Linked DNA regions of Macaca fascicularis. The protein of the gene in region 1 interacts with the protein of each later gene in a pairwise test. Links are inferred from orthologs where the notes say so. Each region holds a gene or a part of one and is shown on either strand. Other genes may lie near its edges. The genes, in order: NELFB and NELFE.

The links.
Region 2: the proteins of NELFB (region 1) and NELFE interact in binary tests that used the Homo sapiens proteins (3 or more experiments, as listed by UniProt). The link is inferred for Macaca fascicularis from reciprocal best matches to the Homo sapiens genes NELFB and NELFE.

Annotation. Positions count from the first base shown.
Region 1 is NC_088389.1:2,050,923-2,066,650, reverse strand, and holds the start of NELFB (negative elongation factor B), read left to right. Parts: upstream 1-8,109; 5' UTR 8,110-8,311; coding exon 8,312-8,413; intron 8,414-8,714; coding exon 8,715-8,878; intron 8,879-9,138; coding exon 9,139-9,238; intron 9,239-9,645; coding exon 9,646-9,876; intron 9,877-11,214; exon of another isoform or gene 11,215-11,595; intron 11,596-15,728. Other genes in the region: protein STPG3, read left to right, coding at 3,928-4,037, 4,569-4,726, 4,831-4,965, 5,266-5,354, 5,468-5,771, 5,921-6,054. UniProt on the Homo sapiens protein: Essential component of the NELF complex, a complex that negatively regulates the elongation of transcription by RNA polymerase II.
Region 2 is NC_088378.1:139,750,782-139,766,298, forward strand, and holds the end of NELFE (negative elongation factor E), read left to right. Parts: intron 1-1,215; coding exon 1,216-1,285; intron 1,286-1,387; coding exon 1,388-1,533; intron 1,534-2,634; coding exon 2,635-2,709; intron 2,710-2,831; coding exon 2,832-2,869; intron 2,870-3,035; coding exon 3,036-3,379; intron 3,380-3,491; coding exon 3,492-3,636; intron 3,637-3,799; coding exon 3,800-3,854; intron 3,855-4,098; coding exon 4,099-4,201; intron 4,202-5,521; coding exon 5,522-5,619; 3' UTR 5,620-5,834; downstream 5,835-15,517. Other genes in the region: CFB (complement factor B), read right to left, coding at 5,890-6,045, 6,315-6,364, 6,446-6,578, 6,677-6,777, 6,976-7,052, 7,150-7,300, 7,516-7,633, 7,772-7,869 and 10 more; complement C2, read right to left, coding at 12,547-12,726, 12,875-12,924, 13,052-13,178, 13,677-13,768, 13,910-13,986, 14,094-14,259, 14,376-14,487, 14,585-14,679 and 1 more. UniProt on the Homo sapiens protein: Essential component of the NELF complex, a complex that negatively regulates the elongation of transcription by RNA polymerase II.

The DNA.
Region 1 (15,728 bases):
GCAACAGAGCGAGACTCCGTCTCAAAAAAAAAAAAAAAAAGAAGTGAAAATGGCTGGTCCTTGCTTCCTGGCTCATCCTGGCTCAAAAAGCTCCCCCACTGAGCACCTTGTGATCCCCACTCCCGCCCACCAGAGAACCCCCTTTGACTGTAATTTTCCTTTACCTACCCAAATCCTATAAAACGGCCCCACACTTATCTCCCTTCGCTGACTCTCTTTTCAGACTCAGCACGCCTGCACCCAGGTGATTAAAAAGCTTTATTGCTCACACAAAGCCTGTTTGGTGGTCTCTTCACATGGATGGGCATGACAGTATCAGCATTAAAAGCTCTCACAAAACAAAGATATAAACAACACCTCATGGAAAATGCAGACATGATATGAATTTTTTTTTTTTGTATTTTTAGTAGAGATGGGGTTTCACCGTGTTAGCCTCGAACTCCTGACCTCATGATCCGCTCGCCTCGGCCTCCCAAAGTGCTGGGATTATAGGCATGAGCCACCGTGCCCGGCCAATATGAACTTTTTAAGAAAAAAGACTGGGCCGGGCGCGGTGGCTCAAGCCTGTGATCCCAGCACTTTGGGAGGCCGAGACGGGCGGATCACGAGGTCAGGAGATCGAGACCATCCTGGCTAACACAATGAAACCCCGTCTCCACTAAAAATACAAAAAAATTAGCCGGGCGTGGTGGCGGCGCCTGTAGTCCCAGCTACTCGGGAGGCTGAGGCAGGAGAATGGCGGGAACCCGGGAGGCGGAGCTTGCAGTGAGCCGAGATCGCGCCACTGCACTCCAGCCTGGGCGACAGAGCGAGACTCCGCCTCAAAAAAAAAAAAAAAAAAAAAAGAAAAAAAAAAAAGAAAAAAGACTGGCCAGGCGCAGTGGCTTAAGTCTGTAATCCCAGCACTTTGGGAGGTGGAGGTGGGCGGATCACAAGTTCAGGAGATCGAGACCATCCTGGCTAACATGGTGAAACCCTGTCTGTACTAAAAAAAAAAAAAAAAAAAAAAAAATTAGCCGGGTGTGGCGGCGGCACCTGTAGTCCCAGCTACTCGGGAGGCTGAGGCAGGAGAATGGCGTGAACCCGGGAGGTGGAGCTTGCAGTGAGCCAAGATAGCACCACTGCACTGCAGCCTGGGCGACAGAGCGAGACTCTGTCTCAAAAAAAAAAAAAAAAGAAAAAAAGAAAAAAGACCACAGTCCGTTAAGTGTGCGGGCATCAAGTCGAACCATAATCACATACATGCTGATTGTGTGTTGAGAGCAGTTTCTGAGGCTTACTGCTGGCAGGCTCACGGTGAGAAGGACGTCTAATTCGGGTGGCACCTTCTGGAAAGCAATTTGGTACATACAGATCAAGTCCATACAAGACACTACAAACTTGGACCATTGCTTCCACTCCTAGGAAGTTGTCTGGCATTCTGGTAGACGCTGGTTCTCCTCCACCGCTCCTGGCTGGTAATTCCCACAGCCCTTGATAGGGCCTTGTGTTAGAATGTTGGGTGTACAAGGCCTGGGGGGGTGTGGGTGGGGGACTTTGACCTTCTCCTGCCCTCCTTTCGTCTGCCCCAACGCAGGATGCTAACATTCTTGCCTTTCCGATTGTGGGTCTTTTTTTTTTTTTTTTTTTTTTTTGAGATGGAGTCTGGCTCTGTCGCCCAGGCTGGAGTGCAGTGGCCAGATCTCAGCTCACTGCAAGCTCTGCCTCCCGGGTTCACGCCATTCTCCTGCCTCAGCCTCCCGAGTAGCTGGGACTACAGGCGCCCGCCACCTCGCCCGGCTAGTTTTTTGTATTTTTTTAGTAGAGACGAGGTTTCACCATGTTAGCCAGGATGGTCTCGATCTCCTGACCTCGTGATCCACCCGTCTCAGCCTCCCAATGTGCTGGGATTACAGGCTTGAGCCACCGCGCCCGGCCTGATTGTGGGTCTTAAGACCCTCCCAGGAGAGGTCTCACCCAAGCCCCAGGGACAGCAATGCTGACATCAGGAAGCTTCTGTAAAATGCCAAGATGACTGGGGCTCAGGGAGCTTCTGGACAGCAGAACAGCTGGAGGTTCCCAGAGGGCGGCGACCAGTGAGCGAGGGCATGGAAGCACCAGCCCATCCCCATGCCTCTCACTGGTATCCTTTGCAATCAATATCCTTTACAACAAACCAGTAAACATCAGCATTTCCCTGAGTTCTTTTTTTTTTTTTTTTTTTTGTTGAGACGGAGTCTTGCTCAGTCGCCCAGGCTGGAGTGCGGTGGCGCGATCTCGGCTCACTGCAAGCTCTGCCTCCTGGGTTCACGCCATTCTCCTGCCTCAGCCTCCTGAATAGCAGGGACTACAGGCGCCCGCCACCTCGCCCGGCTAATTTTTTTGTATTTTTAGTAGAGACGGGGTTTCACCAGGCTAGCCAGGATGGTCTCGATCTCCTGACCTCATGATCTGCCCGTCTTGGCCTCCCAAAGTGCTGGGATTACAGGCGTGAGCCACCGCGCCCGGCCTCCCTGAGTTCTATGAGTGGCTACACCAAATTAAACCCAAAGCGGGTGTCATAGGAACCCCAACTTGAAGCCAGTTGGTCAGAAGTTCCAGAGGCCCAGGCTTGCGACTGGTGTGTGTCTGGAGGCCCTGCCCCCGTCTGTGTCTGGAGGCCGTCTTGGGAGGGAGCTCTCACCCTGTGGGATCTGACACTGTCTCCAGGTAGATGGTGAAGGAAATGAATTAGAGGACACCCAGCTTGGTGTGTGGGGGAACAACCCCCCCAACATTTGAACAAAAGCCTCCTTCTGTGACGGCTGTGGTGGTGTGGGTGCAGAGCCGGACACCACGAGAGCATTTCCCCCACGCACCTTCCGAAGGAGAGGATGGATGTCCAGCAGCGCCATTCACAGCGGCAACGTTTATTACAGGACAGGGAGGACCTGGAGGGGCCTATCTGTCCAATGACAAGGGCTTCATGAGCAAAGTGCACTCTGTTCCACTGGCAGCCAGTCAACTCTGAACCTGGCGCGACCTGGACAGGGGCTCCGGAGCTCAGGGCGTGAACCCTTCGCCCAGATAAATCCTGTGCTTCCTCAAGCATGTGTCCATCTGTCTGCCTGGCAGGCCCAGTGCTGAAGGGCAGGCATCCAGAGAGGGCGGAGGAGGCCCGAGTTGGCCCTGTTCACAGGCCCCGCCCTGGTGGATTCTGGGCCAAGGTCAGGGCTGGGACCGGCTGGCGGTCAGCTCCAGAGGCCACACAGCGAGGGCCTTGGTGCCCACACGGGCTCTTGCTCACGCAGGCTGGCTGTTCCTTTGCAGAGCAGGCAGCCTGGCCATCAGTGACACCTTCTAGTCTCTGTGTCCCCAGGTGAGAGGCAGGCCCTCACACTCCAGTCCTGGCTGGGCCCCAGGGCCGGGCCTGCCTCTGGTGTCAGACCCATCTGATGTGGCTTTGCTTTTTCCCTAAGTGGGAACCCAGGTGGGGTGGCAGCTCCTCCTCTTCCTCCAGGGATCCTTCCTGGACCCCTCCCTCCTACCCCCAGGGAGTCCTGGCTGGCCAGACACAGCTGGGCATCTCCTAGGGCTTGGCGGATGCCCTGGGTCCTGTTCCCTCCACCCCCTCTGCTGAGGCCTCAGTCCTCCCAGAGGACCTGCTAGAGTGGACCCCAGACTTCCAGGAGACCCCAGGGTGCAGGAGAGGGGAGGAATGCTGGGAAAGTTAGGGGGAAAGGGAGAGGGCTGGGCCAGGAGTCACTGGGGCAGGCTGGGGGTCCTGGCCCAGGCAGACCCCGTGATCATCTAGTTAGTGGGGGAGGGGCCCGCCCGGCGTGGGGGCCCGGGGCCGCCCCTCCAGGGCCAGACAATGCATCTTCCCCAGGAGCCCCAGCAACAGAGGGGCCTACCAGTGAGGTCACAGAGCCTGGTGGTGCCCTCGGGGAAGAGAGCCAGGAGACTCTGATGATGAATTTTGACCAGAAGGCAGTGAAATTCCTGGCAAATTTTTACATCAATGGAGGCAAACACTGGACCCACGGCCACCTGAGGCAGACGCCACCAGAGCCCAGCCAGTAACTTGAGGGGGGCGGTGGGGCGGGAAGGGGCAGGCCGGCTGGGAGTGGCCAGGGTGCTGAGGGACAGCGGTGGGGGGAGGGCTGTGGGACAGGCCGGCTGGGAGCAGCCTGGGAGGTGAGGGACAGAGGGTAGGGGCAGGCTCCAGGGAGTAGCCGGCGGGGGGGTGCTGAGGGACAGTTAGGGAGACAGACTTTGGGGCAGGCGGCTCGGGGGCTGAGGGACAGAGTGGGGGAGCAGGTTGCTGGGCTGGTGGCTGGGAGCAGCCAGGGGGCTGAGGGACAGTGTGGGGGACAGGCTGTGGGACAGGCAGTTGGGAGTGGCCAGGGCTGAGGGACAGAGTGGGGGACAGGCTGTGGGACAGGCAGCTGGGAGTGGCCAGGGCTGAGGGACAGAGTGGGGGAGCAGGTTGCTGGGCTGGTGGCTGGGAGCAGCCAGGGGGCTGAGGGACAGTGTGGGGGACAGGCTGTGGGGCAGGCGGCTCAGAGTGGTGGGGACTGAGGGACAGTGGCTGCCGGTCTCCCTTGCAGGCCCAAGGCATCTGTGCTGTTGGTGGGCCTGGAGCCAGGGCTGGCCTGGGATGAGACACGGCTCCCAAAGATGAAGGAGGTCCCAGCTGGTCTCAGGTTACAGATGGGCACCCCTCAGGAGTCCCTGCCCACCTACACCCAGACCCTGAGAGAGCTGTGTGAGTGAGGGTCCCGGCCACCCCACCCCAACGCTGGTCTTTGGGGGTTGTGGGAGGGGCCTGCTGGAAGGAGCCCAGGCCCAGAGCTTGCTTCCTGTGGCCAGTGCTGGAGCAACGCCCCCCGATCACAGCTGACCTGGAAGTCCCCAGTCCCACCAGGTACCAGGTGCCCAGCCCGTCCATACGAGAGTCCTCCCCACACCCCCGCTACAGCATCGGCTGCAGGCACCGGGGCCGAGGTGCGTGTCCCCTCCCTGAGGCCCGACCACCGGGCCTGTCCTCCACCCTGGGAATGGGGGCCTCTGCCTCTGAGCTGAAACCGCCACGGCCTGAGGGCCCCTCCACCCTCCCGGTGTTCACTTCCAGGCTCAGCGCCTGTAAGGAGGCCTGGAGAGAGGAGGGCTAGGGCTGGGGCATGGGTGGGCGTTGTGAGGACAAGGGTTCAGAGGCCGGGGGTGGGAACTGGGAGCCAGGTTCGAGTGGGGGCTGCCACCTGGGTGGGGCTCCCAGCCTTCTCTCTCTCCACCCTCCACCTACAGAGGGCGGTGGCCGCAGGGCATGGCAGACTCTGTGGTTCCAGAGTGAAAGCCCCTTCACGCAGAAAGCCGACTTCGACCAAGAGCAAAAGGTGGGGGCTGGGCAGGCAGGGGGCTGGGAGTTCCAGCGGGGCCAAAGGGGAGCTGGCTGAGGATCCGTGGGGAGCGCCCTGCCCTGCAGCCCCCGTCTCCTGCCCCCTTGCAGTGGCCCTCACCAGCCCACTACCAGCTGTTCAGCCGGCCCGCCGGCCCCGCCTTCAGCTTCAGAGGCCGCCACTCCACCTCCAAGACACCTGAGGGCCACATCCGCCCAGGGCTGCCTGGAGCCAGGGGGCTGGGCCTCAGGATGCAGCCCCAGTCCCTGCTTCAGGCCTCTTTGCAGGCACCTGGCAAGAGACACCCTGGCCCCAACACCTACAATATCCTTCCTGGGAGCCGCCTGCAGAGGCCCCGTTCGCCGGCCTTCTCGATGAGCCGCTCCCCCGCGTTCACCTCCTGGCTCAGCACCTGTAAGGAGGCCTGGAGAGAGGAGGGCTAGGGCTGGGGCATGGGTGCGTGTTGTGAAGACAAGGGTTCAGGGGCCAAGGGTGGGAACCGGGAGCCAGGTTCAAGTGGGGGCTGCCACCTGGGTGGAGCTCTCAGCCTTCTCTTTTGGCAGCTCGAACCCCTGGCCCAGCTGCCTACTACGTGGAGGACTGCTACAACTCACGCTTCCCCTCAGTGCCTGGCGTGGTCATCCAGGGTGTGCGCAGACCCAAGCGCCACAACACAGGCCCCTTCTGTGCACTCTAGAGCCAGCTGGGCACAACCTGCTTGGCCCAGCCACCGAGTGGCCTCCCCCGGGGCTTTCTCAGGCCTCCCTTGGGACTCGGGGCCCCAGCCTGGCCTTCTGACCCTCTGGGCACCCCCGATGCACCCTTCCGGCTGGTCAATCCTTCTATGGGCTGTAGACAAGGCTGGCCCAGCCTGGATCCCTCATCTGGCCACCTCCCTGTTATACAGAGACGCTGTTGGCTCTCTTGAGCTCTGTGGTGTGCAGTTGTGTCCTTCACCTGGGGGCGGTCCTGGGTCATTTCCAGCTTTCCCTGTTGAGGGATCTCCATTCGGCTGCCCCTGAAGGGTGCTCTCTTCTCTAGGGCGGCAGCCTGCGACTCACCCTGAGCTCCAGCCTGGAGCGAGATGGGAGGTGGGCTCTGTGGGACACCCCCACCCAGCCGTGCCACTTAGGGGCCTGGTCCAGTTGCTGTCCACCTGAGGGTCAGCCGCTTGCCAAGCCAGGGAACTTGGAAGGAGGTACCAAATGCCCTGAGCCGCCACCTCCAGGTGGGGTCGGCCTGGCCAGGTCTCAGGAAGGGCCCAGGGACCCCGCTCACCAGGGCCCAACCCCACTTCCCCTGGGCCTTGAGCTGAAGACGCAGCTGGGCTTAGTCACCTGTGCCCTGAAAACTCTGGCCCAGGGCCCTGCAGACTCCTGTGGCACTGCCAGCAGACTCCCAGGGCCTTCACCTGCCGGGTCCCTGTACTGCCCCTGCCTGCAGCTTCACCTGGCTGGGGCCTCCCTTGTCACCACTGGCCTGCCCTCCTACCCAGGGTTGGGCCCCAAGGCTGCCACCTTGCAGGAGGCTTAACTGCAGTGCCATCACCTGTACCTCCCCAAGTCCTTCCCAGACCCAGGACCCAGACCAGGCCCAGAGCTCAACCCCTTCAAAAAGGCTCTGGGCAGCTGCTCCTGTGGCCTCAGCACCATCCCCTTTGGCAGAGAGGAATCCAAGGCCCTAGGGCTGTGTGTGTGCTGTGTCCCTTGCCCTCCTCTGCCACTGAACCAGCTGGGGGTTGGATCAAGGCACTGGTACCTTCGCCCTTGGGGTGACCAACTTGGCCAGCAGCAAGAGAGCCGTGGTAGCCCTGGCCTTGGGAGGTTGGCCCCGCTTGTGGGAACAGGAGCTCTGCTCATGGCTGCACCACCAGGCACCCCTGGTGAGACACAAAGCTAGGAGTGGGAGCGGCAGGAAGGATGCAACGATCTCCTCCAGCTGGGCTGAGGAGGGAGGGCTTCCTGGAGGAGGTGGAGGAAGGAGCCTTTAAGGAAGAGCAAGAGTTTGTTGGGCAGCGGGAAAGAAATTTCTAGAGAAAAACTCGGCAGGGAAGACCGAAAAGAGAGAGGGTGTGTGTAGGGTGCTTGGCGGGGCACTGCCTGCGGGAGGGCGGCGGGCTGGAGAGGCGGGGAGGCCCGGGAAGCCCACCCGCCTGGGATGAGAAGGGACACTGTGGAAACTGGACTCTCCCTCACGGCTCCGCGGAGCTCGGTGGGCGCCACAGCCTCCCGGTGCCGGGGAGGGCGGCCGTCGCTCGCGCTCCCGCTGCGGGCCCGGTCTCCGCCAGGCCCCGGCCCCCTGAAGGCGCTCAGACCTCAGTCTTGGCGACAGCGCTGCGGTGGGCTTCGTGCCCGTTTCACGCGGAGGAAGCCACGCTCAGGAGGGAGGGAGTCTGCGCCCGTGTCCTGCACCTGCAGAGCGGAGGGGCGGGGAGCTCAACCCCCGGCAAAACGTCCCCGCGGCGCGTGGCTGCCGCGAGATCAACAAGAGCGTTTTCCAAGCTTGTGTACACGAAATTCACTCGGCTGACATTGACGTCAGTTGGCAGATCAGACCGACCCCGCTTCCGCCCCCACGCTCCCACCCGCCCTCTTCTGCCAGAAACCCCGGGAGCGGGCGGGACCGGGCGGGCGCATGCGCAGTGGGCTGCCTGGGCGGGGTCTCTCGCGCCGGGAGAGGGCGCTGCTCCCAGGAACCTGCGCGCGGCTCCGGCGGCGTTTCCAGGGGGCCGGTTGGCGGGCGGACCCGGGCAGTGCGGGGCGGAAGTGGGCGGCTGCAGGACGCGCGCGGAGCCGCGCGGCGGGCGGGACCTGGCCGAGCTGGAGGGCGCCGGGGAGCGGGGCTCGGGCGGCCCCCGAGGCCCGGCGGAGCGGGCTTCTGGGGTGTCTGCGGCGGCGCCGGGGGAGCGGGCTGGGGATGGGGCGCCTAGCCGGGCGGCGGCCGGGGCCTCGGCCATGTTCGCGGGGCTGCAGGACCTGGGCGTGGCCAACGGCGAGGACCTGAAGGAGACCCTGACCAACTGCACGGAGCCACTCAAGGCCATCGAGCAGTTCCAGGTGGGGCAGCCCCCGGGGCGGGGGGAGCCCGGTGCGAGGGCAGGGCTGCCTGCGCCGGAGTCGGGCCTGGCGGAGGCGCCGGAAGTTTTCCGGCTTTCTCTCGGTGTCTGAGTCTTGTTTTGGGGGTGGAGTCCGGAGCCAGCATCCCTTTGCTGGACGGCTGGGTGGCTTTCGGTGGCTGCGGTTACCGCCAGCACGGCTGGGAACACCTGGGTTCGTACCTCCCTGGGTTCGAGCTCTTAGAACCTTGGGGTGCCCGGGCGCACTGGGCTGCGGCTGAGATTTCTCTTGACTTCCTCAGACAGAGAATGGCGTGCTGCTGCCCTCTCTTCAGTCGGCCCTCCCTTTCTTGGACCTGCACGGGACGCCGCGGCTGGAGTTCCACCAGTCGGTGTTCGATGAGCTGCGGGACAAGCTGCTGGAGCGAGTGTCAGCCATCGCTTCGGAAGGGAAGGCTGAGGAAAGGTGGGTCAGCGGGAGGGATGGGCAGGTGAGATGTGCGGCTGTCTTCTCAGCCTTGGATCGACTCAGGGGCATTTATCATCCTTTTGGCTCCACATCCTTGCTCCCAGAGGTGGCCTGGCTCTGTGTCTGAGTGTGGAGCCTTGCCCCATGTGTCCTGCGCGTGGAGGCTTGTCCTGGTAGCTGTTACCTGTGTGGGGACAAGCAGGTAGCTGCTCTGATCTGGCGCATCGCTGCACCATCAATCCTGTGAGTTGTTGCAGGTACAAGAAGCTGGAAGACCTTCTGGAGAAGAGCTTTTCTCTGGTCAAGATGCCGTCCCTGCAGCCCGTGGTGATGTGCGTCATGAAGCACCTGCCCAAGGTAGGGTCCTAACCCTAACCCGGACGTGATGGCGTGGACCGTCCGCCCACCCCTCATGCCCTTAAGTTGGTGGAAGTTCTGGTGGCCACCTAGCTCCGGGAGCTTCCCACGCCGCCTGCCGGAGTGCTGTCTATGGTGAGCTTGTCTGGCTTCTCCTGCATGAGCAGCGTGGAGACTGAACCTTAGCACTGGAGTTGGGGTGTGGGGCCCGCCCTGGGATAGAGCTGTTGGTATTTGGCTTGTCTGCATGAACCTGCTGGGGCCAGGGAACCTGTCATAGGTGTCCTGTGGGGTAGGGCTTAGCGGGAGGTGGTCTTGGGAGGGGGGGGGCTGAGGTCTCTTGGCTTGTCTTAAGGGAGATCCAGGGACACAGGGGCCACTCACAGGCTGCCTGTGGTGTCATGTAGGTTCCTGAGAAAAAGCTGAAGCTAGTCATGGCTGACAAGGAGCTGTATCGAGCCTGTGCCGTGGAGGTGAAGCGGCAGATCTGGCAAGACAACCAGGCTCTCTTTGGGGACGAGGTTTCCCCGCTGCTGAAGCAGTACATCCTGGAGAAGGAGAGCGCGCTGTTCAGCACAGAGCTCTCTGTCCTGCACAACTTCTTCAGCCCTTCCCCCAAGACCAGGCGCCAGGGCGAGGTGAGGGGACAGGCCGTGTGCAGGGCGGGGCACCTTTTGGGGGTGCCATGGCTGGCCCCATCAGCTGCCTGGGGATCAACACCCTGCTGCCCTGTGAATGGTTGGATGGTTCTGCTTCTTGGCTGGGCGGCGGGGGAGAGCTGGCCTGTACCCGTGCTGGAAAGAATGTTGGTGGTTTTTATGTTTGTAGTTTACTTTTCTTTAAAGTGATATATGGACAACATTAAAATCCACAGAAAGGCCCCTAATGAGAAGTTACAGCACCTGCCTCCGCTACTTCTTTTTTTTTTTTTTTTGAGACGGAGTCTCGCTCTGTCGCCCGGGCTGGAGTGCAGTGGCCGGATCTCAGCTCACTGCAAGCTCCGCCTCCCGGGTTTACGCCATTCTCCTGCCTCAGCCTCCCGAATAGCTGGGACTACAGGCGCCCGCCACCTCACCCGGCTAGTTTTTTTTGTATTTTTTTTTTTAGTAGAGATGGGGTTTCACCGTGTTAGCCAGGATGGTCTCGATCTCCTGACCTCGTGATCCGCCCGCCTCGGCCTCCCAGAGTGCTGGGATTACAGGCTTGAGCCACCGCGCCCGGTCTTTTTTTTTTTTTTTTTTGAGTCGGAGTCTCGCTCTGTCGCCCAGGCTGGAGTGCGATGGCCTGATCTTGGCTCACTGCAAGCTCCACCTCCCGGGTTCACGCTATTCTCCTGCCTCAGCCTCCTGAATAGCTGGGACTACAGGCGCCAGCCACCACGCCCGGCTAATTTTTTGTATTTTTATTGAAGACCGGATTTCACCGTGTTAGCCAGGATGGTCTCGATCTCCTGACCTCATGATCCGCCCGCCTCGGCCTCCCAAAGTGCTGGGATTACAGGCGTGAGCCACTGTATATGGCACCTCCCCGCCCCCGGCCCACCTCTAAAAAGCAAGTTCTGTTTGGTCCTTCAACTTTTTTTTTTCTGTTTCACGAAAACATGTATTAGATGACAGCTATACATGGCCTAAGCTGTGTGTGGGCTGGTAAAGGCTTGAGTGTTGGCTAGAACCAGGAAAACTGCTGTCCCGTTTTCATGTTCACAGAACAGCTATTTCTCATAGTTGGGCCAGTCCTATGGCCTGCAAAGGAGGTAAACATTTTAAAGCAAGACTTAGCTGAACTGGAATGGAGCCAGAGATGAGGGCACTAAGCCAGACCTCCCAGGCAGTGATCTAACAGCTTGTTCTTGGTGTCCCGGCTCTTTTGCTCCGAACACGGATGGGGAATGTGAAGGCTCTCTTCTGGCTGGGATGAAGCATCTAGGTGATAAGAAATCCAGAGAGGGGCTGAGAAAGGGAGGCAAGAGTTGCTTTTTATTGACTTGGAAGTGGGCTCTTCAGTGAAGCCCCTTTGGGTTTAAGAGCATTTTCCTGCTTTCTTGTTCTTCCGGCAACTTCTGCTGCCTGAGCTGCCATGCTTGTAATCCAGCGTCCATTTCCTGTGACAGCAGTACAACTCGTCTTGCAAACTTCTCCCTTTCAGCTTTTCTTCCACGCTGGCCTTTCACTGGGGGAGCAGGGCGGCCGTCCACCTATGACCAGTCTGGGAGCTCTGTAAGGGGCCCGTAGCCGGAGGGGTTGGCCGCCAGTCCCTGCTGTAGTAGCCACTGGCTGGCCGCCCGCCCAAGCGGCTGCACCACAGTGCAGCCTCCAGACACCTATGAAGAGAACAGTTGCCAAAGCAGCCATGCTGAGCCAGAGTAGCCGGGGTAGCCCTCTTTTTTTCTTTTTTCTTTTTTTTTTTGAGACATAGTCTTGCTCTGTTGCCCAGGCTAGAGTGCAGTGGGGCGATCTTGGCTCATTGCAAGCTCCGCCTGGGGTTCACTCCATTCTCTTGCCTCAGCCTTCCAAGTAGCTGGGACTACAGGTGCCCACCACCACGCCTGGCTAATTTTTTGTATTTTTAGTAGAGCTGGGGTTTCTCTGTGTTAGCCAGGATGGTCTCGCTCTCCTGAACTTATGATCCACCCGCCTTGGCCTCCCAAAGTGCTGGGATCACAGGCGTGAGCCACCGCGCTCGGCCTGGTCCTTCAGTTTTCAGGTATTTAAATGATTTGTTAATGTGGTTGCAGTTGAGTTGTTTTTCATTCTTCAGAGGATAGCAAACCCAGGGTTCTGTCTGTTAATAATATTGGCATTGTTCTAAACTGAAACTTGCTGACAATTTTCTTTGTTCTTTTGAGACGAAGTCTCTCTCTATTGCCCAGGCTGGAGTGCAGTGGCGCGATCTCGGCTCCCTGCAAGCTCCGTCTCCTGGGTTCACTCCGTTCTTTTTTTTTTTTTTTTACTTTTTTTTTTTTTTTTTTTTTGAGACGGAGTCTTGCTCTGACGCCTAGGCTGGAGTGCAGTGGCCGGATCTCAGCTCACTGCAAGCTCCGCCTCCCGGGTTTATGCCATTCTCCTGCCTCAGCCTCCCGAGTAGCTGGGACTACAGGCGCCCGCCACCTCGCCCGGCTAGTTTTTTGTATTTTTAGTAGAGCCAGGGTTTCACCGTGTTAGCCAGGATGGTCTCGATCTCCTGACCTCGTGATCCGCCCACCTCGGCCTCCCAAAGTGCTGGGATTACAGGCGTGAGCCACCGCGCCCGGCCTTTTCCCTTTTTTTTTGAGACAGGACTTTCGCTCTTGTCACCCAGGCAAAAGTGCAGTGGTGTGGTCTGGGGTCACTGCAGCCTCTGCCTCTGGGTTCAAGCTATTCTGCCTCAGCCTCCCCAGTAGCTGGGATTATAGGCGTGTGCCACCATGCCCAGCCAGTTTTGGTGTTTTTAGTATCATCGTGTTTGCCAGGCTCGCCTTGAACTCCTGAGCTCACGTGATCTGCCTGCCTTGGCCTCGCAAAGTGCTGGGATTGTAGGCATGAGCCACTCTGCCTGGCCCTTTTTTTTTTTTCTGGTTTTTTTTTTTTGAGATGGAGTCTTGCTCTGTCACCCAGGCTGGAGTGCAGTGCCTCGAACTCGGCTCACTGCAACCTCTGCCTCCTGAGTTCAAGCAATTCTCCTGCCTCAGCCTCTCGAGTAGCTGGGACTACAGGCCAGCCCCACCATGCCTGGCTAATTTTTGTATTTATTTAGTACAGACAGTGTTTCATCTTGTTGACCAGGCTGAACCAAGAGGAACTCCTGACCTCAGGTGATCCGCCCACCTTGGCCTCCCAAAGTGCTGGGATTATAGGTGTGAGCCTGGCCGTAACCAACTTTAGCACCGTTCGATAGAAAGATAAAGTGAACTATAAGTTAAGATTTTTCAATATCCACATTAAGAAAAAAAAAGTGAGATCAATTTCATTAATGTTTTGTTTGGTCCCGTGTATCCAAAGTATTATCTTTCAGCATGTAATTCATGTGAAGGATTGGGCTGGGTAGCGTGGCTCACGCCTGTACTCCTAGTACTTTGGGAGGCTGAGGTGGGAGGATCGCTTGAGTTTAGTAGTTGAAGACCAAAGGGAGACCTTGTCTCTACAAGAAAAAACATTTAACTCAGCATGGTGGCGCATGCCTGTTGTCCCAACTACTGAGGAGGCTGAAGCAGAAGGATCGCTTGGGCCCAGGAGATTGAAGCTGCGGTGAGGTGTGATTGAGCCACTGCACTCCAACCTGGGCGGCAGAGTGAGAGACACTGTCTCACAAGCAAAAAAAAAATACTGAACTGTAATGCTTTTTGTGGGAGCATCACTGAGATTTGAAACCTGGTGAGTCTTTCACACTTAGCGCCCTTCTGAACTATTGCACTTCAAGTGCTGAAGAGTTCGTGTGGCTCTGGGCTCCCTTCAGGCCGTGGGTCCTGACCACGTGCATGGGCTTGTTGGGGGTGGCTAGTGCCACCTTTGTCCTCCCTTCCCTGTTTGTTTATTCCCAGTCAGGTCCTCCACGGGCCTTTTTCTTGTTCCGTTGCTGTCAGACAGAGCCCTTGGACCCCTCTGCGAACGGTGGGGTGCCCTGCACTTCCCAGGCCTTTCTCCTGCCCCATCTCTTCTGGTGACCTGGTGCTGCCCATACCGATTTCTGTCTGTGAGGGACTTGCTTGGTCTGCTTAGTCCTAGGTTGATTCTTTTATTTTTATTTTATTTTGTTTTATTTTATTTGCTTATTTATTTTATTTTATTATTATTTTTTTTGAGACAGAGTCTGGCTCTGCCGCCCAGGCTGGAGTGCAGTGGCCGGATCTCAGCTCACTGCAAGCTCCGCCTCCCGGGTTCACGCCATTCTCCTGCCTCAGCCTCCCGAGTAGTTGGGACTACAGGCGCCCGCCACCGCGCCCGGCTAGTTTTTTGTATTTTTTAGCAGAGACGGGGTTTCACCGTGTTAGCCAGGATGGTCTAGATCTCCTGACCTCGTGATCCGCCCGTCTCGGCCTCCCAAAGTGCTGGGATTACAGGCTTGAGCCACCGCGCCCGGCCTTTATTTGCTTATTTTATTGTTATTCTTTAAATTTATTTTATTTTTATTTATTTATTTATTTATTTTTGAGACCTAGTCTCGCTCAGTCACCCAGGCTGGAGTACAGTGGCCGAATCTCAGCTCACCGCAAGCTCCGCCTCCCGGGTTCACGCCATTCTGCCTCAGCCTCCCAAGTAGCTGGGACTACAGGCGCCCGCCAACGCCCGGCTAATTTTTTGTAATTTTTTTTTTTTTTTTTTTTTTTTTGAGGCGGAGTCTCGCTCTGTCGCCCAGGCTGGAGTGCAGTGGCTGGATCTCAGCTCACTGCAAGCTCTGCCTCCCGGGTTTACACCGTTCTCTTGCCTCAGCCTCCCAAGTAGCTGGGACTACAGGCGGCCGCCACCTCGCCCGGCTAGTTTTTTGTATTTTTGGTAGAGATGGGGTTTCACTGTGTTAGCCAGGATGGTCTCGATCTCCTGACCTCGTGATCCGCCCGTCTTGGCCTCCCAAAGTGCTGGGATTACAGGCTTGAGCCACTGTGCCCGGCTGAGTTTATTATTTTATTTTATTTTTATTTTATTTATGTTATTTTAATTTAATTTAATTTTATATTTTACTTTATTTTATTTTAATTTTTTGAGACGGAGTTGCTTGTTGCCCAGGCTGGAGTACAGTGGTGTGATCTCCGCTGACTGCAACCTCATTCTCCCAGGTTCAAGTGATTCTCCTGCCTCAACCTCCTGAGTAGCTGGGATTATAGGCGCCCACCACCACGCTTGACTAATATTTGTATTTTTAGTAGAGACGAGATTTCACCATGTTGGCCAGGCTGGTCTCGAACTCCTGGTCTCAGGTAATCCACCCACCTTGGCCTACCAATTTGCTGCAGTTACAGCCATGAGCCACCGTGCCCAGCCCAATTCTCTTTTAAAAAGTTAAATTAGACCGGGCACAGTGGCTCACACCTGTAATCCCAGCACTTTGGGAGGCCAAGGCGGGCAGATCACGAGGTCAGGAGTTCAAGACAAGCCTGACCAACATGGTAAAAACCCATCTCTACTAAAAACACAAAAATTAGCCAGGTGTGGTGGTGTGCCCCTGTAATCCCAGCTACTCAGGAGGCTGAGGCAGGAGAATCACTTGAACCCGGGAGGCGGAGGTTGCAGTGAGCCAAGATTGCAACCACTGTACTCCAGCCTAGGCGACAGAGTGAGACTCAGTCTCAAAAGAAGAAAAAAAAAGTTAAAAACTGGGTCAGGTGTGGTGGCTCACGCCTGTAATCTTAGCACTTTGGGAGGCCAAGGTGGGTGGATCACCTGAGTTCAGAAGACCGGCCTGGGCAACATGGGGAAACCTTGTCTCTACTAAAATACAGAAAATTAGCTGGGCGTGGCGGCCTGTGCCTGTAATCCCAACTACAGGCTGAGACAGGAGAATAGCTTGAATCTGGGAG
Region 2 (15,517 bases), on another chromosome or scaffold:
TGTGGACCTTCTGTCTTTTCTATGCAATCGGCCATGGGATTGTCTTCCTTTCCAATGGCTTTTAGTACCACCTAAGGGCTGATGATCCCCAAGTTTGTTTTTCCAGTTCTATCCAGTGTCATACTGATAAACTTCAGATACCCAAAGTTGGAGCTATCATCTTTCTATTCTTGATCTTCCAAGTAAGATTGACTACACCAATTCTGCCACGCGTTTGGACTCAAAATCTCATCTCTGACTTCTCCGCTATTTGCATAGTCAAGCGTTTGCCAAGTCTTCTTGTTTTTTCTTTTGAAGCAATTTTTCCTGTTTATTCTTCATTGTGTATTCCCCCGAGCAGGGCTTTATTGACATTTACATGAGCGATTGTAATGGTCTCTCAACAAATTTCTCAGTCTTTTTTTTTTTTTTAACAGACTTCTTCACTCTTGGTCAAACGATCCATTGAAAACACAAAATTCTGCTCCCTCTGTTTCTCAAAAACCATAAATGGCTTCACATTGTCTATATAACAAAGCCCCAAAACCTTAGTTTGGCAGCCTTGTCTAGTAAAGTAGAACTATTCACTACTCCCAAAACATGCATTCCCAAAGCGTTCTTACCTCTGCATGTTTGCCATCCTGTCTTCTTTTTCTAAAATACCCTTCTTCTCTCTGTGTCGTGCAGAGATACGGGGGAGGGCCTAGTTTAATAGCCATTAAACATCAGAAAATCTTACTAGCTTTCAGCTATGAATAATCTGCACCTCTTACCGCGTTGCTAACTCACTCAGTTTATTTTTATTTCTCAGACTATAAGCTTCTTGAGGGTAGAAACAATGCTTTATCCTCCTGGATATCCCTGTTACAAAGTCATGTCTGGACCTTATTCAATATGCAGGAAATAGATGGATGAAGCCTCCAGGAAAGGCACATAGACTTATACTTACTTGCAGCTTATATCCTAGGATTCTAGTCCATGATCAAATTCTTTGTCTTCAACCTCAAAAATGTAACACTCTGGAAAACCTCTGGGTTCCGTGGTTTGGTTAGATTAGGAATTTCCGGCATCATTCATGATCTAGGGGACCAGAGGCAAGAGGCAGAGCACATCAATGCACCACTCTAAAGACATCAAGAAAGATGGTCCCTGGAGTGATGTGCCCAGGGGTCTTGGGAGAGGAACCGGCTAGGGGCTGGCCCTCACTGACCTCTCTCCTCTCACCCTTGTTCCCAGAAAAAGGCATTGCTGGCTCTGAAGAAGCAAAGTAGCAGCAGCACAACCAGCCAAGGCGGTGTCAAACGCTGTGAGTGACAGGGGAAATGGGGATGGACTGGAAGTGGGCAGCATGGGGCTGACCTTCATCATGGCCTGGTCAACATAATGCCTCTTCCCCTTATCACTCCAGCACTATCAGAGCAGCCTGTCGTGGACACAGCCACAGCAACAGAGCAGGCAAAGCAGCTGGTGAAATCAGGAGCCATCAGTGCCATCAAGGCTGAGACCAAGAACTCAGGCTTCAAGCGTTCTCGAACCCTTGAGGGGAAGTTAAAGGTGAGCACAAACAGAAGGATTGTTTAGAGGGCATCCCTCCAAGTTGGAATGTAGATGGGTTTGGGGAAAAATATGCATACTCGAGCACTGGCAAATTGCTGTACCATTCTGAGTTTTGCCTCTCAAATATTAAATGAAAAAACTAGATGACTCCTGAATTCTCCATTTTACAAATTTTGTAGTTCTAATCCACTTTGGATTGGAGCTCTTGGAATATGTCGCTCTAAGGGATGGAAAGGGCAGAAAATGTTATCAGATTCAAGAGAGGTTGAAATAAACTGAATATATAACATATCAAGTCACTTATAAAAAGTATCAACCAGGCGTGGTGGCTCATGCCTATAATCCCAGCACTTTGGGAGGCCAAGGTGGGCAGATCACTTGAGGTTAGGAGTTTGAGACCAACCTGGCCAACATGGTGAAACCCGTCTCTACTAAACATAACAAAAATTCACAGGGCATGGTGATGCACGCCTATAGTCCCAGTTACTGAGGAGTCTGAGGCCAGAGAATTGCTTGAACCCAGGAGGCACAGGTTGCAGTGAGTGGAGATCGCACCACTGTACTCCACCCTGGGCGACAGAGCAAGACTCTATCTCAAAACAAAACCAAAAAGCTGCAATGGCAGGTGTGGCAGTGGCTCATTCCTATAATTAGAGCACTTTAGGAGGCCAAGGTAGGAGGATTGCTTGAGCCCAGGAATTTGAGACCAGCCCTGGCAACATAGTGAAACCCTATCTCTACAAAAAAAAAAAAAAAAAAAAAAAAAAAACAGAAATTAGCCAAGCATGGTAGAGCGCATCTCTAGTCTCAGCTACTAGGGAGGCTAAGGTAGGAGGATTGCTTGAGCCTGGGAGGTCAAGGCTGCAGCAAGCTATGATTGCACCATTGCACTCCAACCTGGACAACAGAGCAAGACCCTGTCTCAAAAAATAAAAACAAATAAATAAAACCACATAGTCAAATAAGAAATGTATATAGTGTTAAAAGGAAAGAAGAGATCAGAGGAGATCTAGAAGAGGGTGAGGGAAGAGGAACATCTCTGTTCCATGGTTGGGCAGCCTCCTGCTCCACACTGAGGTAGGTCTCTCCCCTCTCCAGGACCCCGAGAAGGGACCAGTCCCCACTTTCCAGCCGTTCCAGAGGAGCATATCTGCTGATGATGACCTGCAAGAGGTAAAGGCTTCTAATTTCTGTCCCTGAGGGGTTGGGGATGGAGGAACATGAGAAACTAACTTATTTTGGACTACATGTTAGCAACTGGGAATCATCTTAACTGTTCTTGGTCTCTTTTACAGTCATCTAGACGTCCCCAGAGGAAATCTCTGTATGAGAGGTTAGAGAGTAGAGATAAGACTGGGCCCACTTGGCGGGGTTGATTGCCTGAGTCCTTGGGAGGTTTGGGCTGTAGAAGCTGTGCTATTGAGGGAATATTGAGTCTCCACAGGGTCCAAGGGGAGAAGGTAAAACCCCCCTTTGATCTTCAGTCTGCATCTCCCCAGCTTTGTGTCTTCTAGTGATCGACTTCGAGAACTAGGGCCAGATGGAGAAGAGGCAGAGGGCCCAGGGGCTGGTGATGGTCCCCCTCGAAGCTTTGACTGGGGCTATGAAGAACGCAGTGGTGCCCACTCCTCAGCCTCCCCTCCCCGAAGCCGCAGCCGGGACCGCAGCCATGAGAGGAACCGGGACAGAGACCGAGATCGGGAGCGAGATCGAGACAGAGACCGAGAGCGGGACAGGGATCGGGATCGGGATCGGGATCGAGATCGAGATCGAGATCGAGACCGGGAACGGGACAGGGATCGGGAGCGGGATCGAGACCGAGACCGAGAGGGTCCTTTCCGCAGTGAGTGATCTTGGCTGGAGGTCAAGGTGACCTTAACTGAGGTTTATGTGGGTCCTACTAAGTGAAGTGTGGGATGGACCATGTCTTGTGACTGTGATTCCTGCTCCCAAAGGGTCGGACTCCTTCCCTGAACGGCGAGCCCCTAGGAAAGGGAATACTCTCTATGTATACGGAGAAGACATGACGCCTACCCTTCTCCGTGGGGCCTTCTCTCCTTTTGGAAACATCATTGACCTCTCCATGGACCCACCCAGAAAGTAAGGATGACGACAGGGCATGATGAGAAGTCCTGGGCGAATCCTGGGGTGTGAGACTTGAGGGAGGAAGCTGCCCTCCCGGCAGCCGCCTGTGATCGCTGGGTTTGGTTGGGTCCAGAAGAGCCCCTTGGCTCTCCACTGACCCTGTTTTTTCTTATCCCAGCTGTGCCTTCGTCACCTATGAAAAGATGGAGTCAGCAGATCAGGCCGTTGCTGAGGTTGGAACTTCGCAAATCTGTTCTTCCCATCGCCTCTGCTGTTCTCATGTGTTCTCATCAAAATACTAGATGCCAGGAAGAAGTTGGTTCCTCTTGATAAAGTCTCTCCCTATTCACACAGAAAAACTTACATTCTCAGATTCCTTATTCAGTCTACTCCTAGGATAGCAACTCCTGGAATAGCTTCTTTGGTGTATCTGTAATGTTTTCCTCCCCATCCTCTGCCTCCCCTCTTCTGCTTTAGCTCAACGGGACCCAGGTGGAGTCTGTACAGCTCAAAGTCAACATAGCCCGGAAACAGCCCATGCTGGATGCCGCTACTGGCAAGTCTGTCTGGGGCTCCCTCGGTAAGAATGGGATTTTCTTTCCCGTCCTCTCCCCTACAGCACACTCCTTTTGGTTCCCCCACACATCCTTGGGTTTCCTAGAGATTATCGAGGTCAGAGTGTGTGCAGAGGCTGTGGGAATGGGAAGGAAAATTTCAGATCATCTGTTAGTTAGAGGTAAAGAAAGGAGAGAAAAGGATTGAGAACAGCTTCCAAAGCAGCGACTGGAACAGGGAAGAAAATGGGAGCTGGAGTGAGATTGGTGAGAAAGATGAGTGTCTCATGGGGCTTGTTCATTTTGAGATGGAGTAGAGTGAATTTCGTAAGTATTTGAAATTAGGGGTCTGGAACTCAGGTGTGAGGTAAGGAATGAAAACATAGATTAAGTCATCTGCATCACAGGGTGGCTCCCCGATCATGAGGGAGACTGATTTCGGAGAAAAAAAACGACCCAGGACTAGACTTGAGGAATACTCAGGGACTATGTTAGGAAACAGGACTGTCCACCTTACGCCCCACGTGTCTCCAGCTCTCCTGACACGTTAGGCTAACGTTGAGCCTAACGTTAGCAAAGGAGACAGGAGGAGGGGTCAGAGGGCTGGGAGCAGCACCAGAGGGGCCTGGGCCACTGAAGCGAAAGGACACATGCTTTGAGAAAGAGGGAGTAGCCAGCAGTGTCAAGGTACAGAGATCACAGGATGAGAAGTGGGTGGGAGAGATTCTCTCTAGGTCAAGGGTGGTGGGGATGGAATCTTTGGATGGGGTGAAGAGAGTAACATGTCTGGTGGAGGGAGGAAAAGAGGAAGGGGAAGAAACAGCTAGAGGCTTGAGAGAGAATGGTGAGGGCCAAAGCTACATGCTGGATGAGTTCTGGTGGAGCTAGTAGCATTCCTTAGTATGAGTAACCCATTTACCTGAAAGTAGATTTTCCTGGGAAAGGAGTGAGCAGAAAGAAGGACTCAGAGCAACAGTGGCCTTTCAGGCAAAAGAAAGGAACTAGAGTTGACCAGCATGTCAATAAAGGGCTACAGAGGTTTTCTAGTTTTTAGCTTCTGACATACTGACTATAAGTAGTGGGTTAATATCATTCATATATCTCAACAATGACATTTGGGATTTTTCTAAGAACAAAACATTCATCAAAATGTCCACTTACACTCTCCTTGGCCATGGGTTGGCACAAAGGAGCTAAGGAAGACAGGCCATCCTGGCCACCAGAGGGCAGCGTGGAAACTGGGTTTCCAGGGGCCAGCAGCCAGGACTGAGGTGGTCAGGAGTCAGCCTCAGGGTCTGATCTATGATCTCCTTTAGACCTTAACTGTTCCTCTCCTCCCTCCCTAGCTGTCCAGAACAGCCCTAAGGGTTGCCACCGGGACAAGAGGACCCAGATTGTCTACAGTGATGACGTCTACAAGGAAAACCTTGTGGATGGCTTCTAGGGAACAGAGCTGGATTCCTTGTGCCTCAAATGCCCCAATGCTGGTCTCAGTAAAACACTGAGGTGGAAGCTTACATATCTCCCTCAGCCTCTGGTTTTTCAGCACTTGGGATTGGGGTTAAGCCTTTAAAAATGGGTGTCAGGTTTGATCTCAGTGTAACAACATGGCCAGTGCCCGTTCCCCACTCCCTTGCCCCAAAAGGATCTGGAACACAAGTGTTGTCGCAGCTGTTTTAATTCAATCCCGCGCCCCTGTCCAGCAGGAAACCCCTTATAGAAAACCCAAATCCTCATCTTGGAGTTTCTCCTTCAGCCAGGGCAGCACTTGGAAGAGGTTGACGTGAAAGTCTCGGGCGTGAGCAGGTACCTGCTTTTGCCGCTTCTGGTTTTTGCAGACATCCACTACTCCCCAGCTGATGACACCAACCTGCAGAGGCAGTGGGGTGCCATGGATCATTCATAGAATTCCTAATCCTGGAAGCATGACTGTTCCTGATTGTGTCTTAGCTGACCTAAAGGAATCAGGCTAGGGACCCAGCTCAGCCTCATTCTTGACACACACAGGCCAGACATGCAGTCCTAAAGTGAGGCAGGCTCTGCCCACCTCGAATTACTAGCCACATGCATTGTGCTTTCCTGCTTTGGGGCCCATGCTGACCACTTGGCATCTCCCCAGATAGGAAAGGGAGGACTCACTTGAATAAAACGACTTCTCTTGTGAACTATCAAGGGGCCGCCAGAATCACCTGCAAGGAGAGGAGAAGCTGTAGGGAAAAGGACTCTTGGCCCTCGGGCACTTGGAGCACAACCAGAGAGCGTTCTCTCACCTCTGCAAGTATTGGGGTCAGCATAGGGACTCACTCCTCCAGTACAAAGGAACCGAGGGGTGACCACCTCGGAGATGTCCTTGACTTTGTCATAGCCTGGGGCATATTGAGCATCTCTCTCACAGCTGCCTTTCTGTAGGGGAGGTGGGAAGCATGGAGAAAGGTAATGAACAGAGGTGGCTTAGGAAGGATTAGGGCCTAGAGTGCCTCCTTAGGATGCCCATTTCTCACCTTATCCCCATTCTTGATGTAGACCTCCTTCCGAGTCAGCTTCTTCTCCTCCTCAGACACAAACAGAGCTTTGATATCCTGTGCAGGGAGCAGCTCTTCCTCTGGACAAATAGACTGCATCACTTCAGCTGCTCCCACCACTGTCATCTCCCTATTGACTTTGTCACTCAGCAGATGTCCCCTAAGCCCTTCCTAGTGCTAGGTTCTGGGCCAGGCATCGTCTCTTCCTATTGCATCTCCCTCTCATGCCTCACTTGTCTCGGGATCTCATCCTTATCCTCCCCCCTAGTATGTCTTACTCTGTTGCTGGCAAGTGGTAGTTGGAGGAAGCCTCAAAGCTCGAGTTGTTCCCTCGGTGCAGGGGAGACAAATGGGCCTATAAAGGATGGAGAAAGAACAGCAAACTAGGCCTGCTCCTCACCCCAGTCCTCCAGCCTTTCCCAGCCTTTCCTCAGGGATCTGGATGCTCTCACCTGATAGTCGGGTCATAATTCAACTTATTCTTGAGCTTGATCAGGGCAACGTCATAGTCATAAAATTCAGGAATTCCTGCTTCTTTTTTCCCGCTAATGTTGTAGTCGGGGTGAAATAGGACTTTTTCTATCTCCAGGTCCCGCTTCTTCCCTTGAAGTAGGAGAATAGGTACCACCTCTTTGTGGGCAGCTTCTTGCCTCTGGCCCCATGTCATTCCTAACTTCAAGTCTTCCCCATCCCTGACTGGTCTGGGGTGCAAGGGATGGGGCTGCATTGCAGATGAGTGGAGTGTGGGATCTGTAGAAAGTGGGAGGTGTTGCCTGGAGGGCGTAGGTGCAGCCCGGGACCTTCAGTTGCATCCTTACCCACGCTGACCTTGATCGAGTGTTCCTTGTCGTCCACAGTAAAACAATGTGCTGCTGTCAGCACAAAGTACTCAGACACCACAGCCCCCATACAGCTCTCATGTCCCTTCGAAGGGCGCTGGGAACAGAACAGTAGAAAGGGAAAACTCAACTTTCACAAACCACCATCTCTTACGGCCATTTTGCCCTTCCCCTACTCCCATTTCACCTTGACCTCACCTCCCCCAAGTCCTCACTACTGGGATTCTGTGCTTACAGTGACTGAGATCTTGGCCTGCCATGGTTGCTTGTGGTAATCGGTACCCTCGCTGTGTTCCCAAACCATGCCACAGAGACTCAGAGACTGGCTTTCATCTGGCAGAGAAGGAGAATGTGCTGAAAACTTGGAACACTTCATTCCCAAACGGCAGCAGCCTTTGGGTAGAAGTCTGTGGGGGGCAGAGGCCCAAAAGGAGAAAGGGAAAGGCCACAGGTATTTGTTTCCTCGTGTTAGGAGAAAACTGCTGTGGTGGAGTGAAAAGGGAAAGAACTTGGGATCAAGCTATCAGAGGCCTGGCTGTTTTCAAGCCCAGCCCTGTTGCTAGCTTGCTGCCCCTTGACCTCCTTTGGCCTTTGTTTCCACATGTGTCAAATGTAGGACAATAGAAAGATCTCTGAAGTGCCTAGAGCTCTGTGATTCTAAGGTTAAGAAGCAAACAGTGCCAGGAAACAAGAATAGTGATACTGAGGTAGAGAAGGAGGAATGAAGAAGGCTTTCCAGGCAACTAGAGCTTCAGGGGTAGAGGAAGAATGAATTATTTCAGGGGAAGCTGAGGAGAGTTGCGTTCTTGATTCCCTTGTGTCTGCCTACCAATCATTTGGAAGAAAACGTCTTCCAGGTTTTCCATATCCTTGACTTTGAACACATGTTGCTCATTGTCTTTCTTGGAAGCCAAAGCATTGATGTTCACTTGGTCCACCAAAGGTCCAACCCCAAACACATAGACATCTGAGGGAGAAAAAGGAAGGATGACGGTCCAAGCCCTGAGGAAGTAGGGTGCTGGGTCCTAGGCAGGTTACTCACCCAGATAATCCTCCCTCGGGTTTTTACGATCCTTGCCGATGTATAACAAGTCCCGGATCTCATCAATGACAGTAATTGGGTCCCCGCCCATGTTGTGCAATCCTGCAGAAGAGACGGGACCATGAGGGTAGGAGATAAGATAAATTGGCTAGAGGCAGTGATACACGTGGCAGGGTGAGTAAGTTGAGGAAGGGTTAGAGGTAGTTGATCACAGGGCTTTAGGAATAATTCTTTATGAAGGGTCACAGGAGAGATGAACAGCCAGTTACGAGTCACATTCAGGGCCCCAACCATGGGTATAGTGTTACAAGTGGACTTAAGGGCCACATGCTGGTCTGAGAAGGTGGGGAGGCTGGGACAGGAGAGAGGTCCCTTCTGACCATCGGTCATGAGGATGATGACATGGCGGGTGCGGTTCCAGCCTTCAGGAGGGATGTCCTCTGGCCAACTCATCATGCTGTACACTGCCTGGAGGGCCCTCTTGGTGTTAGTCCCTGACTTCAACTTGTGGTCTGTGGGGAGGGAAGAGAGCATCGCCTCACCTGGTCTTCCAAGCCATCTTTTAACCCCAGAGACCAATCTGCAACTGAAATCTCACATCTTCAACTTTTTAAGTTAATCATCATATGGACTTCCCTTTGACCACAAAGTGGCCCTTCCAGCCCTCAGCAGGTTCCCACTAACCTCCATTGCCCAATGACCCTGCTGTTCAACCTTTGACTACAAAGTGGTCCCCCTGTTGCCCTCAAGGTAGTCTCATGACCCCCTCCACACAACACTCCTGAACCTCCTGACCCCAAAGTGAACCTCCCACCATTCCCTAACCTCTGACCTTCATAATTGATTTCACTGAGCTTCTTCGTGACCCAGTCTGCATTGCTGCTCTCTTGGTCAGACACTTTGACCCAAATTCTGGGGTATGTGGCATATGTCACTAGAGCATATCTTGGCTTCACACCATAACTTGCCACCTGTGGGTGAGGAGAACAAGGCGCCATGGCATTGAAAGTAGAATACTGTGATTGGGAGACTTCAGCAACGTTGCTGGGACAGGGAGGCTCTTAGGAAGAGGCTCAAGCACAGGTTCATGGAGGAATCAAGTACAAGGGAAGGAGGACAGAATAGGACCTGGAGACTTTCCTGGGGCCCTGCGGTTCAGAGGGGCTGGAATGATCAGGGAGCTAGTCCTGGAAGATCAGCAAGATTCCATTCCCCCAAGTTCAGGGATAGGAGGACTCCACCTTCTCAATTAAGTTGACTAGACACTTTTTGGCTCCTGTGAAGTTGCCGGCCCCAATGCTGTCTGATCCATCTAGCACCAGGTAGATGTTCATGGAGCCTGAAGGGTCTAGGATGATCCTCCGCTTCTGTTGTTCCCCTGGGTGCCAGGAGAGTGACTCAGGCTCCAGCATGAATGATTATCTTGTCCCTTCTCCATTTTCCCCCAGTTCCCTGCCTTGCCTCCCCTCTCTGCCTTCAAACCTGGGCTGTGCCCATCCTCGGCATCGACTCCTTCTATGGTCTCCGTCAGGGAAGACAGGAAAGCTTCGGCCACCTCTTGAGGGGTGTCGTACATGAAGGAGTCTGGGAGAGTCAGAAATGAGGTCAAATGTCTGGGAGTGTCAGGGACACAGTGACCAAAGAGACGGGGGATTGTGGGTTTCCAGGGTAGAAAAGGCTCAGAAGTGAGACAGTTCTAGAGGAAGGTTTAAAAGAAGTGAGGAAAGAGCAGGGTTGAGGTGGGGAGAGAAGACAGTAGGATGCAAGATCAGGATCTGACCTGGGGGTACAGGTCAAGGGTCACCTTGGCAGGAAGGCTCCGTCCCGCTCCAAGAGCCACCTTCCTGACATGTTCGCCGCTGGGAGCCACGCAGGGTAAGCCCCCGGCTGCAGTGGTAGGTGACGCTGTCTTCAAGGCGGTACCGGCTGCCCACCTTCCTTGTGCCAATGGGGATGCCTGGGTTGGAGCAGTACCCCGCTGCAGAGGCATGAGACATGGAGGTAAGCGCTGAAGCCTGAGGCCCCGAGGGCAAGGTAGAGAGCAAGAGTTACAGTGTCCAGGGGCAAATGCCCACTCCTCAGACTAGGCGCTGTCAGGGAGACAGCAATGTAGGGGGAGAGGATGCTTCTCACCTCCGTTGTCACAGATCGCTGTCTGCCCACTCCACCGGCCATTCACTTGGCAGGTGCGATTGGCAGAGCCCCGGAGAGTGTAACCGTCATAGCAGTGGAAAGAGATCTCATCACTCACATTGTAGTAGGGAGACCGGGGCCGGTATTCCCCGTTCTCGAAGTCCTGTGGTCGTGGACAGCGGATTGCTTTGAGAAGAGGGGAGAAGTAGAAGTCATCAAGAGGGAAAGGCTGCCTTAGGTGTTTCCCTCCTGGTCTCAGAGACCAGGTCACTGAGAAACAGAGCATTCCCAGTCCTGCAGAAGCTGCATCTTACCTACCCTTCAACCCATAGGGGTTTCCGCTGCTCCTCCCTCCCCATTGCTGAGTGTTCTCTTGACTTCCAGGGCTGCGTGGAAGCCCAGGGTAAATGCTTACTAAAGGTTAACTCCCCTTTTTTTTCCCTTCCTTTCCCTCTACAACCCTAAAACTGCTCCTACTCCTGGTCAGCCCACCTTGTCACCCTGCCTAGTCTCATCCTAGTCCTGACCTTGCTGCCACCTGCCCTGTTTCTCCCTTAGGCCACTGCCCACACTCATTGCCCTCAAACCTCTGCACTCTGCCTTCTTGACAGTTTTTCGATCTTGAGTCTGCAGGGTGCTCCAGGACCCCGTGGATCTGCAGGTACGTGTCTGCACAGGGTACGGGTAGAAGCCAGAAGGACACACGTATTCCAGTGCCTGGCCCTCTTGGAGAAGTCGGAAGGAGCCACCTTTGATCTCTACCCCCTCCAGAGAGCAGGATCCTTGAGGCTGGGCCGAAGACAATGGAGTGGTGGTCACACCTGAAGAGAAAGGCTGATGAAGCCTGGCCCCAAAAGGCCAAGGAGGGATGCTGGGGACAGCAGGAAGGGAAGGTTACCCTCACTTACCTGCAGATAAGAGGCCCAAGATGAAGGGCATCAGGTAGAGCTGGGGGCTGAGACTGCTCCCCATGGCGTTAGAAGGCAGGAGAGAAGCTGGGCCTGGGGCAGGATGGCGTGTCCTGGCTTGTTTTGCTTGTCTACTTAGCTCAGTGTCCAAGCTGAAACTCCAGACCTAGACCTGGTCACATTCCCTTCCCCTGCCCCCCACCAGCTCCCGGCCTTTTATGCAATCTGTGTTCTGGCACCTGCAGCTTGCCCCGCCTGTCCTACCCTCATCACTTTCCCGGAACATCCAAGCGGGAGGGCCCCGCTGAGCTGCCAGTCAAGGAAGCAGAAACTGCAGAAGTCCCACCCTTTGCTGCCCAAGGTCCAGGACTCTCCCCTTCAGTACCTCCTTCTGGCCTCAGCTCCTCCCCAGCAAGCCCAGACCACCCACTTAGGGACCAGAAATAAGGATCCAGCTCACTCCCCTGTTGCTTGTGTGTTATGGTACAGAGTCCAGCCACTGTTTGTCCAGTGGGGTCTCTGACCTGCCTTCCTGTGGCTCTTGGAGTCATTCTGGCCTCCCCTTCCCCCCAGGCCAGCCCTACCTGGCCTCCAGATAGAGTCACAGACAGATGTGGAAACCACTGATTTTTATTAATTTCATAACTGGGAAATTCCATATGAAAGTGAAATGAGCATGAGTCAAGTCAACCAGGGGAGGAATTTGGGGACAGGCCAAGGAGCGGGAGGTGGGGCAGCGAGGCAGTCCCGCTGGTAGGAGCCCTGAGGATTTCCCAGCTTGTGTGCGCTGCCCCTGGCATCCTAGAGACCCAGATTTACTCAACTAGGAGACGGCATGGGTCACAGAGTCTAAGGGTGGGCATTCAGAGGTAGAAGATGGAGGGGGGGCGGATTCTAACAGGACAGCAGAGGGCTCAGTGGCCATGACTAAAGGGGTAAAAAATTCAGGACATCCCCCAGGTGCTGCCTCAGCCAGGGCTGCATGCGGAAGAGATTGATGTGAAAGTCTCGTGGCGGCGGGACCTTGCTACGAGGGGCCCTTTTGCGGGAGTTTTTGTCAGCAGAGCCAAGGCAGGGGTTGTAAAGACCCCAGCTCACCAGACCCACCTGGAGAAAAGGAGAGAACTGGCTGGGAGGCTGCCACAGCTCCAGCTGTAAGCCCCAACCTCCCTAGATCCCTCAAAGGCCTCCCTCATCCCCCCAACAAGGCTGACATCCTGTAACCCCTGGGTCCTGCAAGCTTCCACCTTCTCACCTGAAAAAACCTGAATCTCCGCTCAAGGAAAACTGCTCCCCCAGATTCTCCTGCCAGCAAAGGGTGACAGGAGACAGCGTCATACAGGGCAGTGGACTGGTGTTCTGGCATGCACCCTGGCCACAGAGACACAGGTGGCCTTCCCCTTTGGGAATCCAGGCATGGTGAGGGACTCACCCTTGCAGGGACTCTCATCCTCCTGGGTCCCACTGCATAGAAACTGGTCTGTCACCACCTCCCTGACATCTGTCAAGTTGGGGAACATGGTTTTTTCTTGGGAGACGACCTCGGCACAGCTTGTCCACTGCCGTAGGGGTGGAACCAGAGAGAAGGGAAGAATAAGCAGACCTGACTGGGTGCAATGGCTCAGGCCTGTAATCCCAGCACTTTGGGAGGCTGAGGTGGGCGAATCACTTGAGGTCAGGAGTTCAAGACCATCCTGGCCAACTTGGCGGAATCCTGTCTCTACTAAAAATACAAAAATTAGCTGCATGTGGTGGCAAGCACCTATAATCCCAGCTACTTGGGAGGCCGAGGTAGGAGAATCACTTAAATCTGGGAGGCAGAAGTCGCAGTGAGCCAAGATCGTGCCACTGCACTTCAGTGTGGGAGACAGAGCAAGATTCCATCTCAACAACATCAAAAGAATAAGCAGACTCAGGGACACCTAGCAGGTTTGTGAGACTTGGGAGGAGAGGTGACCCACGTCAGAGAGAGAAAGCAGCCAGAGCTGGAGAAGGAAGAGAGAGATTCTGCGAGCTGTCACAGGGGGATCCCAGCATCCCCAACCTGAGACCCTCACCTCCACTCCCATCTTAAGGTTAATGTTCAGTTTGCTCCCATTCAAGGCGACAAAATGAGCAGGAACACTCTGTTTGTTCAGCAGTTCATTCTCTATAGTCAAGAGAAGAGGATATTGGTGCTGGTCCTTTTACCCAGAATCCAGATTCCTGGCTTGGGGACTGCAGCCTAGTCCTTGTTATCACCCCTAAACCCCGGCCCCAGCTCTCAAGCACCATAAGTCCCAGCACTCACCATGGTCCCTACAGGTGCTGCCTTGAGGTCTCCGCAGAGCCAGATTGGCCTCCATGGTGCAGGGAAGGCAGATGGGCCTGGGGAGAAGAGCAAGAGTCACACCAGCCTGTCCCCAGTATCTCTTCCAGGGCTCTCCAGAGCACTCTCCCCTGGAGGGCACCCTCCCATCCCAGACTCCAGGCACCTGGCATGGGTGGACATCTTTACTTTCTGGGCCAGCTTCAGCAGGGCGATGTCATCACCATAGAACTCCAGGATTCCCTGGTTCTTTTTGGCAAAGACATCAAATCCTGGGGAAATCACTGCCTTCTCAATAAGGAATTCTTTGCCCCACTGGGATTTGGGGTCTCCTGGAAATGATATGCCAGATTAGGCTAGACCAGGGCTCCTGCAGGGGCCAGAGGCTGGGTCAGGTGGTGGGATCTGTGGCTTCAGGATCGGGAGCCTGGTGCATCCCCTGCCTTACCCACATTGACCCTCCATAGGGAGTGGTCGTTGCCATCGCGGAAGCAGTGAGCCGCTGTCAGGACCCATTGGTCGGAGATGAGGGCTCCCCGGCAGGTCTCTTGGCTCTTGGGCTACAGGGGGAACAGGTGATCTTCAGGGATTGCAGTATCTCTGGCCCATGGCCACTTTCACCTCTGGAATCCAAGCCCCGCCCCTCCTTCCTGGTACCTTAATAGTGACATGCCAGGGTGTCCTCTCTTGGTCAGAGGCGTTTGCTGACATGTTCCCCACCCCGCAGATGGTGTCTGTGAGCTTGGAGACATCTGTGGGTGTGAGGATCAGATGGGGAAGGAAGCAAATGAAGGGCACTGTGTCTAGCTTCCCAACGTGGGCTTCTGACGGGCTCCTCACCATCCTCCCTACACCAGGGAGGGCAACGCTCACTCACCCAGCATATGTTCAAAGACCTGGTGCAGAGCCTTTGTGTCCTGCAGAATGAAGGCATGCCTCTCGCCATCCTTCTTGGACCCCAGCTCATTCAGTTCTCTCCAGTCCACATCCAGCTTGCCCACCCCGATGGCATAGATGTCTGTTGGGGAAGAAGGAAATCACCAGACTCCTGTGGCTTTGGGGCTACCCCATGAGACAGGAGGCTGTCATCTGAAACTCACTGTGTCCAACCAAGACCTACATAAGCTGGACCCCTGCGTCCTCCCCACTGCTACCTGTCTGCCCTCATTTCCTGCCATTGCCTGCCCTTCACTCTCCTGTAGCACACAGCCTCTCTGAAGTTTATCAAATCCTTAGGCGTAGTCACACCTCAGGCCCTTGGCCCCAGCTATGCCTCTGCCTAGTTCACTCCTCCCCCAGACTTCCACATAGCTCACTTTCGTACCTTTTTAAGTCTTGGCTCAAATGTCACCTTCTCAGTGAGGCCTTCCCTGGTCTTCCTGTCTAAAACTGCAATGCCCCAGACACTTTCATCCCCACTTTGGGAGGTAAAGTGGGAGGATCCCTTGAAGCCAGAAGTTTGAGACCAGCCTGGGCAACATGACAAGACCTCTTAGCTTGTGTCACCTACCACCTGCTGGGTTCTATGGTTTTCTTATCCTGTTTATTGCCTATAATGGTAGAATTGTGTCCCCCAGAAAGATGTGTTCA